Linked DNA regions of Styela clava. The protein of the gene in region 1 interacts with the protein of each later gene in a pairwise test. Links are inferred from orthologs where the notes say so. Each region holds a gene or a part of one and is shown on either strand. Other genes may lie near its edges. The genes, in order: alpha-adducin-like and protein lin-7 homolog C-like.

Region 1 (7,163 bases):
TTTAACCCAAGATCTTCCATACGTCGGCAGAAGAGAGAAATTTCGTGAGTTAGTCGCCTAAGGTTCGCTGGATTACGAGAGGTCTTATATAAAGGTTTTATTTGCTCGTATTGCTTGATTACTTCACGTTGAACTACTGATTTAGGAATACGCTCTTCCAGGCGTTCCCATACACTTGAAATTGATTTACAGTCACATATCATTGTTTGATAATCGTTTGGCATTGCACCATTGCGTAACAGTCATGAAATTTGCACTAAATCATCCGTAATTCTTGCATGGTGCATTATATGTGTAAAACGTTCTTTCCAGGTATAAAAGTCTACTTTTTGTCCGTTCCAGCATGGCGGATGCATACCACATAACTTAATCATAGGAGGATCATTATTATAATTGTTTTGAGTGGTTACAAGAGATGATATCTCCGGCTTTATATCTAGTTTGTCTTCATATTTCTCAAAATCGATTGCAATCTTGTTTTCCACACGTAAAATTTCTTCACTAAATTTGGATATAACGGGTTTTTCCTCACTTTGTGTAGTACTGTCTTCTTCAATTAGAGCCAATTCCATAGTATCAATTAGACAGACCAAAAATGCTATTTTATCGTTAGCATCATGAAACAGTATTTTGACCTTTTCAAAATCTCTTCTTTCCAGAGAGTGCTCAAATCGTGTTAAAATTCTTTCCAAATTTACTTTTGAGTACCGGAAACTTACTCTTGAGTTGTTTGAAATTCTGACCTTGAAAATATTCTGACATTGTTAGTTGGCATTCTTGCTTTGATGTATTGCTGAATCCTCGAAAGGTTGAAGAAGAACTGCTTGATTCAGACTCCAGTTTGTAGGTGTAGGTGCAGTATCATTAAATGTCACTAGTTTGGATTTCTGCCCATTGACAAATCACCCTTGCCTACTATGTCTCTTTAACTAATATCCCAAAATGAAACGAATAGATTTCTCCCAAAGTGATTTAATCCAGATATCAGTAAGACAAAGTGACCTGACAAACAATAAAGATGAATATTAAAATGAGTACAGGCAACCAGGCACAATACAAAGCAAGAATATACCAATTCACTTACATTTAAATGAGGCTTTGTCAGAACAGATTATCCCAATGTAAGGAACTTATGAAATAGATTATTCATACCCAATGACTATAGCACCATTAACAAGCTTATGAGAACAGATCTAAAGACAGACTAAAGCTCTAGACAGTTAACCATAACAAGAAGTAATCAAGTAATCAGCCAATAATCGCGATGCAGTGAACTATACGTAAACACACCAAAAGTAAGTAGTACCAAGATAAATCAGTCAAATGTTCAAACCAGGCGGGCATTTTAAGTCGTTACGCGGGACGTAATTGCCCCACTGTTTGGGAACCCCTGATCTACACTGATAAATATGCCATATATATTCTATATAATTAATTAAATACAACCGAGTTGGGAATTACAGAATGGAATCGCACCTCAAAATTAGTTGGGGTGTTTGAAAAATAGGGTGTGTGTGTGTGTGTGTGTTCACCCCCTATAGCGGGGGGAGGGGGGTGTAAGGAAATCGCTGCATGGACTTGATGGTGGAGGATGTTTTAGCATGGTGCTACTGATACCGCAATACATGCATAGCAATCGGTTACACGTTGACGGAAATAGAGATGTTTTCGGAAGACCGACAAATCGATACAGATTAAGGAACATACGGTACCCTACCTCAATCAAAGTTAGGATGCGACAAAAACAAGTTCTAGTATGTAGGCTATACAAGCTAATTTCAAGCGCGGAAGCGAGGATCGTCGATTCGAGTTACCGGTACTGAATTCTGGAATTATAGGACAGTATAAGCAAGTCACAGCAGTTCAGGCAATCTTGGACATTTTTAATATATTATATGACATTATAATTTATCATGTTCTTATTGATAGAATTCACTGCAATAAGGTGGATAGGTAGGAACGCTTCTAAAACAATAACCGGTACCGTACCGGTACGTGGTACCGTACCGGTATGGGGTCTGGTACGGTACCGGTATAGTTTAGTACCCACATGCACTTCTAGTTGGCCTGGCTCAACTATTTTTGCATATGTCAATCCTAACCTCTACCTGACTACGTCACCGAAAAATTAGGTCATTTCGACGTCACAGTGGCGTAATAAGGCCCACCAAAGCATGCGGAAGGTAGTCCAAAACGCGCAGACGATCATCCGAAATCGAGCAAGCTATTTCTCTCGTTTTTTCGTCACAACGATCCCGATAGGAGAGAGATCGCCGACGTTAAGCGAGTTCGTTATCAGCGGCGCAGATGCCATTTCGGGCGATCGTAATTATACTTTGACAAGCCCTATGACGTGATGATGACGTCGTAGTGACGTAATTTTTGGATGGCATACGGTAGTCAGGTGGGGGTTAGGAATAGCATATGCAAAATTCGTTATGCTATGCCCACTGGAAGTACGGTACTTGTGGTAGACTACCGGTACCAAACTATACTAGACCCCCAGGCATGCAGGTACAGAGGTATGCTCGTAAACTAAGTTGTACTTGTTACCCATTCAGGCTGGCTGCATTGAATTGAAGACTAATTACAGAATTAATTGTCCTGACTGCGACTGACCTTCAAAAATAATTTCTCATGTTATGTCTGATACAGATGTAGAAAGCACTATGAGAATAAATTGTGAGAAAGTTTGGCTATAGGTCAAGCAATAAGCTCACGGTACTACGGTATCTGATTATGGTACAATCTGACAATAGACAGATAGAATGGGAAGATCATTTGGCGCGGCAGTGTGGCTCAACGGGCTAAGCGTTAGGAATACGCTCGCCACCACACCTCTAATTGATCTGCGTGGGTTCGCATCCCATGCAGGGATGGTTATGTGCGAGAGGATTGCTGGACTCCTCGCCGTCGTTGGGTGGTTCACATAACCGCTGAACTTCTAACTATTATACATGTGTCCATCTGCCCATTCACGAAGTACATTGTTAATGCTGAATATCTTTTGCTCTTTATACCTAACAGTCGGTTACGGCTTCCTCCACCACCAAGTCCATGATTCCGAAAACAAACAATCTAACTAATCCCATACCCGACTTGGAATGGTAACCGGACGAGAGGTCGTGGTTCGCCATATGGATAAGCCATCTTATTGGCTTTCCTCTCCCCCCCCCCCCCGGGATAAATATGTAAATCCTATCCTATCATTGATAACCTGTTTACAGTACGGAATGTCTGAATGTGTATGGAAACTATTCACTGCAACAATACTACAATATGGCACTGTTCTCCGATTCCAAGAATGGCCCCAACATTAAAATACATTAATTATAATAGTGAGTGCAAACTCTTCCTTCACTAGATACAAACAGGCATTGCACAACAAAACAAAAACACAATTTTGGTCATGTGCCTGCGACGCAGATCACAAAAGATTTAATTTATTTTCGAGACAGCGTGGCACAATCTCATGTTGTGCCAAGCGTCCTAGTTTCAGACACAAATAGAGTGTTTGTTTCATTGAACCAAATGTCAGAATGTTGGGACATCTTGGAATCGGAAAACTGTGCCCTATTGTACTATGGGAAATAATCTAAATTTTTTATGACGTATTCATCCTTGAATGCGGTACATAAAAAAGAATCGTAGACAGATACGATATTAATTCATGCTGAGAATGATAAATTTCTAATTGATAAAATTGGTAAGTGAACATTTGGTTTCTTTCTATAGTAAACAATTTGATTTGAAATCCATCTGCTTAATTGTCATTAAATGTGATCATATTACTGTATTATGAAAAGAATGAAATGAACTGTATGTATTCAAATAAAATATAACCAGAAACATAGACAATTTCGTGGCTCGCATGAGGATGGCACATCTTATCAATACAGTAATATGTAATAAGTTTCATCCAAATCAAATGTGCAATGTAGTGTGACTTTTGTTGGGTTATTCAGACTCTTTCGCTAATTGATATAATGCACCCATTCATTTTCGCTTGCTAACTTTTTAAACAGTTTTTTGTAGTGCACGATGCGTGGCAAGTAGTATTTAATGTACTCATTTTGAAATTTAATGTGTCTAGTTATCTGAAAATTATCAGTTCGAAATATCAATTAAATGGCGATGAAAAGTCCTACAAGAACCAAGCAATCTCATAGAGAGGTATTTATTGGATTTTTCTTTGGTCTGACCTATAGTTAAAATATGGTATCTGAGTAGTGGATCATAAAACTTGAAATTTGTTTTAGTGAGGCATGAGTGCTTTTCTCTTAATACAGTAATAATATGAATTGTTAATGAATGGCCTTTGGGGGGTTGTCAGTTGTAAACAAAATCAATAGAAGTACTTGTGATACTAAACTACACTAGACCCCATAATTTAATATATTTCAGTGGCAGAGTACCGTATATGCTCGTTTTTTTAGGGCCCGTTTGAAAAGCCGCCCATGTGAACAGAACATAAAAATAAATAAGGGCCGGTGCTTGAATGTAAAAGCTGATTTTTCAGTGGTAGAGAATGAGAATGAGTGGTAGAGATGTAAAAGCTGATTTTTCAGTGGTAGAGAACAATAGGAAATAAGAAGCGCTTTTGTCACAACGCTGTTGAATTTTAAGCACCTGTAGATAACACTCACGCCTTAGGCGTCCAAGTACATAACAGATAGCATTGATTACGTAACACCATGGTTCTCAAACTGGGCGTCGCGACGCCCAAGTGCGTCGTTTCAATATTGATAGGGCGTCACAAGACTTTTCTTCTTTTGCGGATTTGTACCTGCGGTGCGTAGAAAAAGTCAAAATTTTCATTATTCTCGTTTGAATCATACTGGAACTGGAAATAACAATGTATTAATTATTGTAACGATCGAAAATAACGAGCGCCCGTCTTGAATAAGGGCCGGTTTGGATAAGGGCCCGGTTAGTGAGTTGGTTGAAAAAAATACGGGCCCGGGCTACAAAACGAGCAAATACGGTATGTTTGTTTTCATGATTTACAAATCTTGAAAGGGTGGCACTTGTCATGTTTGTTTACTCAATTTATAAAGTTTTGATAAGTACTGAACTATATGTGTATGTGAAGAATTCAAAATATAACACTCAGTGATGACCCACATGAAGTGTAGGCTACTCAATATAGTGAATGCTCGACTCAGTGATAATTTAGAACAGTGGTTTCGAACCTTTCAAGAAATAAATTCGAGGAAATCTTACAACCCTTGGTATTATCAAATAGTATTGAATGGCATGTAGTGCTTCTATGGCCAGCTTCGTCCCCGATCCAAGCTGGAACAATAAATTAGTAAATTAATTATTTCTGCTGTATCCAAGAAAATGGCCACCAGACGAAGGATCATGGTTCGCCATGTGATTGAGTCAGCTTAACTGCTTTTGTCTCCCCTAGAATAAATATAAACGAATGGTTTTCTATTCCTATTCAAAGATGCTTGATCCTCAGTCTCCAGGAAGTCATTCAGGTGTTGATATCGAAGCTGAGCTGGGAATACATCCTGTTAGAAGGCCAACAGGAATTGATCAAGATGTCAATGAGCTAGGACAGCAGAAACGAGTTTCATCTGTATTAACTAGTCCGGTAAATTTACTTATTTTTAGTTGCTATGTGACCTTTATTTTGTATCAAATTGTAGTGAAGATAACTTAGTTTCTTGTGATAATCTATATTTTATTCAAGTTTTTTAGTTTGTTTGGGTTTATTTTTTATTAAAGAGCTAACATCGGAGTTTTCATTCAAGTCTTTAATGTGCAATCCATTCTCATTTTGTTTCTCTTTTAAGTATTATTATACAAGATCCAACTATGAAATCAAAGTAATATAGATTGAGGGTTAAGTTTTTTAGATATATATGGTTTTCGCTTAATTTACGCATGATCTCACGATTATGACTTTGTAAATGTTAACAGTGAATATTCATAGCGAGTGTCAATATTAGCTCACGTAATAATTGAACTGTGTTATAATTTTCTTCAATAGGTGTTCAAAGAAGAACTTGAAACTGTAGTGACTGACTTATTGCGTTCTGGTGATGGTGGAGGTCACGTAATTGCCAAGGAAATTGCAAATATGTTGTCGCCGATGAGCAGATCTCAATATAGTCTGGGTAATTTATTTAATTATATATCAGTTCATGCATGGTTTTAGCCATTAGGGCTATTGCTGTTAGTGCTTCTTGATGCTATGTCATCCAATCCTGCCTTGATATATAAACCAAGAAATTTTTCGATATCTCTATTAAAGGAAAGATTGATTAACAATAGTATTTCCCAGAAAAAGACTAACAAATATTAACAGCTATACTGACTGCTTTCTATTTGTAATTGTTATTTTAGCATACTTTTAAAACATCCTAAATTGAAACTACAAAATATTATTCTGCTTAAAACATAATTTGTCTTACAAAATCTTTTGTACCGCTCAGTCTCGGCTCACTATTTTTAATGGTCGTGCAATAAAAACTCCCCTTCTAAAACACAGTTGGGTATTGCACAGGCGCTAATAAGCAGGCTTTCCTCCATGCCAGTTTAGAATTTAGATGTTTTGCAAGTTGTTACATCACTACTAAGTTTATTATTCAGTTTCTTTATTGGAGTAAATTTTGTTCAACTTGCTTTGTAAAACCAATTCCTAATATGTTTTATGATTAAACGCAGTGTTTGAACCGGTGCTGCTATGCATTACATATTTACAATATTTAAAGTTTATGTTCTTTGCTCAGCTGTTCTGCTAGTAATTGTTGGTATAAATCAATCTATTCGAAGTTTTCACTTGTTTCTTCTATTACTTGTACAGGTGATGGAGTTTTCAATATGAAAACAGGTGACAATGATATTGTGTCATGTCATAATTTATTGCAATTTTGGGTTTTGCTTGCTCCAGCATTGCTATAGTAACTGGCTGTAGTATATATATTATATATTCACATAATTAAATAGTTCGATCAGTTATGTTCAATTGCATGCTCGATTCAATCAGAAGATATTAATAATAGTAACACTATTGTTAATTTTCAATGTCGTAAATAATAAATATTTGTAATACATCATAGTTCATGTAACTTGTTCCACATCCTCTTGTTAATCCAACAAGGTACAGTGCAATGTCAAACTTTGGTTCTCTGATCCTACGTACGTAGACT
Region 2 (6,254 bases), on another chromosome or scaffold:
TAAGATTGGATTTAATCGCATTTTGTTAAAATCGCCGATTGTTTTCTTCACGGGCTATTTGGGCCGTGAACACCTTCGCGTCGATATTCATTTTTCCAATATCACAAATTTCCATCAACATATGCATGTCTTATTTTGGTTCTTACACGGAATGGTGAATTTGTTGTGAAAAACCAGTCATTATATTATAATCATCGGCGACGAGATGCTAAAGCTAATAAAGTAGTAAATGATTGAAAAGCGGCATTGTAAACTACTAAAACAACTAAAACACAATAAGTTCTGTTTTAGGAGACCCGCTCCAAATAAAAATGCGGCATTTGAAGTAGCAATGTTTTGTATTTTTAGTCCACGCAACAGCCTGTTACATTGAACACATTAATTAAGCAAGATATTTCAAATTCCCGTATCGGTCGTGGATTGAATACTTTGCGTAATTGCGAATTGTACTTTTTGGGATTGTTTCACACACCTTGAGTTTTTCTTTTAGCGGCGACATCTTGAAAATAATCTTTAGTTGCAGTCAGAATAGCTCAAATCCCAAGGTAGTAAAATTCGAATCCAATCTATTCATAATCGGACATCTTATCGCGTGTTTTATTCTACAGATTGTCGAAGTATTTTATAGTTGGACTTTTATTTTACTGTAAATCGACGCAAAGGCGAGTTACGTTGAACACAATCAAATTAACATAGCAAGACATTTTAAATGTTCGCATCGGCCACGGATTAAATATTTTATGCAACGGCAAAATCGTTATCCGCTCGACCCGATTGATTTTTTTTTACCGAAAATGAAAATATAAACTTTACTTGACAGGTATACTTATGCACTCACCTTGTTTAAATTTGGCCATTTCTGCCTCTAAGTCTTTACTCTGTCCAAGCTTCGATTTACAAGTTATAGGAAATTCATTTCTGTTCATATATCCTTCGATGTCAACTTCATTCAACCCTTTAGGAGTCGGATCGCACTGAGTAATCAAACAGCCTGGTTTAGCAGAACAATGAATGACGGTTTCATCGTCCTGACATATCACAGAAATGAAGAGAATGGAGAAACAAATAATAAATCTCAGAAAAAATTTCTTCATTTCATCCGATATTATATGAAGCCTCTTTTATTGAATCTGTATTGTGGTTCCAAGAAATAAAACATTACAATTTTTTGATATTTTAAAACATTTTCTCGCAACACCAAGCATCATGCACGTACAAACGCATCAGTACTCCTATCAGTGAGACCTATGAATATACGCTTACAGATTGCATTAAGACGATCACTATTTAATAACCTTTGGTAACACAATCTGAAATAGTGGATCTCGTACTTTCATGATCGGTGGCTCGCATTCTAAAGACACCCAACACTCTGGTCTTCCTTTGAAATTAAACACTGTATACTGTCTTCGGCGCTCCCGTAGAATGTGCAACAAGATGGCGGATACCTGAACATAGTATGTGTACCAGGTTAGGGTTAGGCCATAATTTTATTCCAATTTTCTTTAATTTTGTTCTATTACGAGTTCGGAAACTATCCAAGTGACCACACCCTCGTAGTATTTGTAGCTGAAATTACGGCCTAATCCTAACCTGATACACATACTACGTTCCGGTGTCCGCCATCGTGGTTCACATACTACGAGAGTACCTTGTCTTCTTCTATCATATACGATCATGGTATATATTATTCTTATCACCATTCTCCGCCCTCCTTTCCCATTTGTTTGAGAGTACCAATAGGTTAGCTTTTGTGATAGGCTGCCGAATTAGACGGGTATTCGACAAAAGACCGTGTCGCATTACAATGATTACAATTAGTAATCATTCACAGGTAACCATGGTGGACTTTCGACTATTTTGGCCGCACTAATACAGAGTGGTACCTTAAAATTTGCCTTATGGGAAATGATATATGTTATTTCCTTGGTTGAATACAAACTGTAATTCCTGTACGAAGATATGGAAAATTGGTAGTTTTTATTTACTCATATCCTATAGTATAGGTACTTATTTTTAATATAAGTCTTTCATTATTTTAGAATATAGTCGATATAGCCAATTAATGCTCTATAATGCTCGTCTATTTTATACAGTCAACTTTACCTCTGGACATTGTGCACCATAGTAAATATGACAGACCTAATCCTCATGTCTTTGCCGAAATCACTGTACGTTACTCTATTTCTACAAACGAAATAAACCTGAATTTTGCTGAATTGCTGTTCTTGTTGGGGTATTGTTGTCGTGAAATGTCGCTTTTCTTCGTAAGTACTGGGCCAACCGACTTAAGATTTTAAATTTCACGACCTAGAGTTGACTTTCACTCGGCAATCAACATATCTCAATCTCAGTACGAAGCTACATCTTGCAATAGCCTGAAGGATATATTTGAAAGTTTCCTGTATCCGATTACATTAAACTTCGTGGTTAGATTAAAGTTATTTATAAAGGTTGAAGCCGGCTGTTCATAATGTAGAAAGGAATGGCCAAATCATAAAAAAAACATTTGCGTCTGAAAAATCAAATTCTTATACTGTAAAGGCAATTAATCACGTGAAAAATGTATTTGCGACATTCCTCAATCGATTTTATTCGTAATCATACTAATGTATCATCCATAATTTCCCTTATTAGCCAACTATTTACTTCCGTGTTTAGCAAATTATTTTTCGTTTGTAACTTCGTTTTGGTTATTTAGCAATCTTATGCTTTGTATTGGGTAATCCACTCTCCAGTTGTGAATGCTTTTAAATCTTCTTTATACATATTAAATGTTGTAACTGGTAAACATTTATTTTATGATGTTTTAATTCACGTAAATTGAAATTATTAGAACTCTTGTAAACATATGCCCAAAATTCAACTTGAGTAGTTCCAAAACTCCTTCAACTTTACTCGATAACCAAAATCAATAAATATATTTTTTAAAAGGTAATGTTATAATTAGAGCTGGGAATGGTTAACCGGTTAACCGATTTCAGATGGTTAACGGTTATGATTTATTTTAACCGTTAACTGACATCTCGGGTACAAATCATCTTTATACCGTACAATTTCGTTAAATATGATTACGTCATCTCAAATTTATCTCTTGCGGCGTTTAATTTAAAAAAATATTACTAACTGTGTGGGTAAGGACTCAATGAATGTAAAAAATAATGGAAGTACCAAGATTGCTGATAATGAAAATTTACAATGATAAATTCAGAATCAGTTTTTGGTCGATTTCGAAATATATTGTTCACGATTTCATTGCAAAATCGGATATTCAATGTCATACAACAAGTGCGCACTTGATCACGCTTTTCTTTATGAAATATATCTCGAAATAGAATTTGCACATCAAACACTGAAAATTTGTCACATAAATGACGTTTAACAACGGAATCGGGTTTTCTTAAATATTTCCACATGCCCGAACCACGCTGCCTATCTATTGCAGCAGAGGAATCATGAAACTATCTCAATTCGTAAATAATTTTGAGCGATACCGGGATAAAAACACGCGAAATTGCGTTATAACCAATGTGACGTAACAAGCTGAAATTATAATTATTACGTCAAACGTCACGCGGCGGTTAACCGGTTAATTTTAATCGGTTAACTTTAAAGTGTTTTCCCTGAAATTCCCAGCCCTAGTTATAATAGTAAATTCTATGATAATTCATCAAATGAGTAAGGAGCGATTGTCGCAGGAGCGATTGTGGTTGGGGTTGACTTTAATGGGCGAAGGTTCCTATCGCCGCTCCCTACAGTTTATATAGGGATATATATATATATAAAGTGTTGGTTAGGCTACTTTATTCTAGTTGAAATGATGACTGTATTTTGATTGGCTAATAAATCCCTTTTTCTCTCTCTTTTTCACACTCGTTTTCGTGAAGATTCGCCGTCGATAATTTTTTTGCTGAGGAGCATTGAGTTATCCGATTCAGTTATCATTTTCTGTCGTCGGGATTAGCTCACATTTTTGTTCGTCCGACCGGACGATTCAAATAAAACATATTCATTCAGAAAATTTAGGAATAATAGTTTTGAAATTTTACGGTATAAATAGAAATACCACCCTCTTTTTGTCTCTTCAGAAGTCTCGCTTATTTCTGTATATTGTGTAACGGTAATTTCATGAATAGATCAAAATACCAGCAACTCGTATAATGAGGATCGCGAGATGGCAGTGATGAGTTGGAGTACAACAAAACATGACTGTTGCCACAAAATTAGCGTTTATCCATGGGTATATTTTTTAAAATTAGTAAGTTTTTAGGCATTTCGATAAATTTTACTTTCAACATATCTAATAATTATGCAAATTGTGTATTTATTATGTGTCAATTAAAAATGAAATATTTAAGAAATCATTTGTATTGTGTTAGCTAACTTGTTAAATAATCCCCCTTCTTATATTACGATATCTTTGGAACTGTTATGTGTAATCCATCAAATATTTGTTGTAATTAATTAAGGTAAAAATCTATAGCGGCCTTTTTTTTCCTCATGATATCTGAATGTCTTGTCTTAATAGAAATTTTTCTTTTTTTTATGGGTCGGTCGACGTAGTTGACCTTGCAGTCTTGCGGCCCCCTCCCGAATATATTCTATGATTTATTTATTTTTACAGTTATTGAAATTTTACATTTTTTTGATACATTGGGAAAATAAATCATTTTCTCTCTCTCATTTCTGTTTTAGTGAAAATCTATCATCACTAAAAAATCGTCAGCAAGAGAACTCGATGACATCTGACTGGTGACGCAACGACTTGTTTCTCGTCTGGTACGGCAGTCGCTTCCTGACTTTCAGGAGAGGTGTTTATCGTTCGTCTAATTCCGCGACGTTGTTTGTAATTCTTTATTTATTATTATCTAGTTTTAAAATAACTCTATTAAAATGTCAGAACCTTTGACACTCGAGCAAGACATTACAAGGGCGATTGAATTGATCGATAATTTACAAAGTCGAGGGCAGGTTCCATCGGATAAAATCCTAGCGTTGAAAGCCGTTTTGCAAAGTGACTTTTTACACGCTGTTCGTGAAGTCTATGAGCATGTTTATGAAACTGTGGACATTACCGGGAATCCTGAAATAGCTGCAAATGCCACTGCTAAGGCCACAGTTGCTGCTTTTGCAGCCAGCGAAGGACATGCCCACCCGAGAGTTGTAGAATTACCTAAAACAGAGGAAGGACTTGGATTTAATGTCATGGGAGGTAAAGAACAGAACTCTCCAATTTATATTTCTCGTATTATACCCAATGGGGTAGCAGATCGCCATGGTGGCTTAAAACGTGGCGATCAACTTTTATCAGTCAATGGAGAGTCCGTTGAAGACGAATGCCATGAGAAAGCGGTTGACCTTCTCAAAGCTGCCATCGGAAATGTTAAATTAGTTGTTCGATATACTCCTCATGTTCTAGAAGAGATGGAGCAACGATTCGAGCGACTTCGTCTATCCAGAAGGCAACAGCATACCTCAAACTCTGGCTAATTCCATTCAGTTAGTTGTCCAACATATTTTAAGCTGCTAATGTTTTTATTGATGTTTTCTTGATTTTGTTGACTTGATTTTCTATTTGATTATTTGTTATGATATTGTTGATGAGGGTATGGTCTATTTAGCTGTATTTTACAACTCAAAATGCAGAAATTGAAAGATTATGGTTATTCCAAATAGTGTTGCTTCTCGCATATAGAATATTCGAAAACTTGTGTATTCAAAATAAATTTTTCTATTTATTGATATATGCTCAATTTTGCTCAGAAACTTATAAAATATATCAAAATATTGAAATCCAAAATATTACATTGAATTTGAATTTTTCTTCAAACTTTGTTAGACTGAATATGTTTGAAAATTTTTGATTTGATTTGATATAATCTACATTGGTACGATTTGGACTGCTTGGACCACATCAATATGGTATGATTGAAAGAAATTGTGATGAATTTCTAATGCTCTGAAGCTAGTTATTATTTTCTTGAATAGCGTTTAGTTAGATCGTACCAAAGAATTCATACCCACTGAAATTCAGAATTTGCTGAGTAAAACTATTGATCAACTAATAGGGGTAAAGTCAACTTTTAATAAATGCACCAATGCCTTTGTTACTTAAGTATAAGTACCTACCGGTAAGTAACAACTGCATTGGTTCATTTAGTATCAATTGTCAATGGGGGAAACAGTTTTAAATAATCCTATTCATATTGAGAAATCATACTTCATTGATTACCAAGGAAGGAAGGTATGGTTTA

What was found.
Region 2: the proteins of alpha-adducin-like (region 1) and protein lin-7 homolog C-like interact in a two-hybrid assay, tested with the Caenorhabditis elegans proteins (3 studies listed by BioGRID). The link is inferred for Styela clava from reciprocal best matches to the Caenorhabditis elegans genes add-1 and lin-7.

Annotation. Positions count from the first base shown.
Region 1 is NC_135258.1:23,366,787-23,373,949, reverse strand, and holds the start of alpha-adducin-like, read left to right. Parts: upstream 1-4,025; 5' UTR 4,026-4,128; coding exon 4,129-4,173; intron 4,174-5,452; coding exon 5,453-5,602; intron 5,603-6,001; coding exon 6,002-6,128; intron 6,129-6,817; coding exon 6,818-6,844; intron 6,845-7,163. UniProt on the Caenorhabditis elegans protein: Membrane-cytoskeleton-associated protein that promotes the assembly of the spectrin-actin network. Plays a role in time-dependent memmory loss and the retention of conditioned behavior over time.
Region 2 is NC_135263.1:5,072,307-5,078,560, forward strand, and holds protein lin-7 homolog C-like, read left to right. Parts: upstream 1-4,769; 5' UTR 4,770-4,893; coding exon 4,894-5,490; 3' UTR 5,491-5,685; downstream 5,686-6,254. Other genes in the region: uncharacterized protein LOC120340926, read right to left, coding at 839-1,094.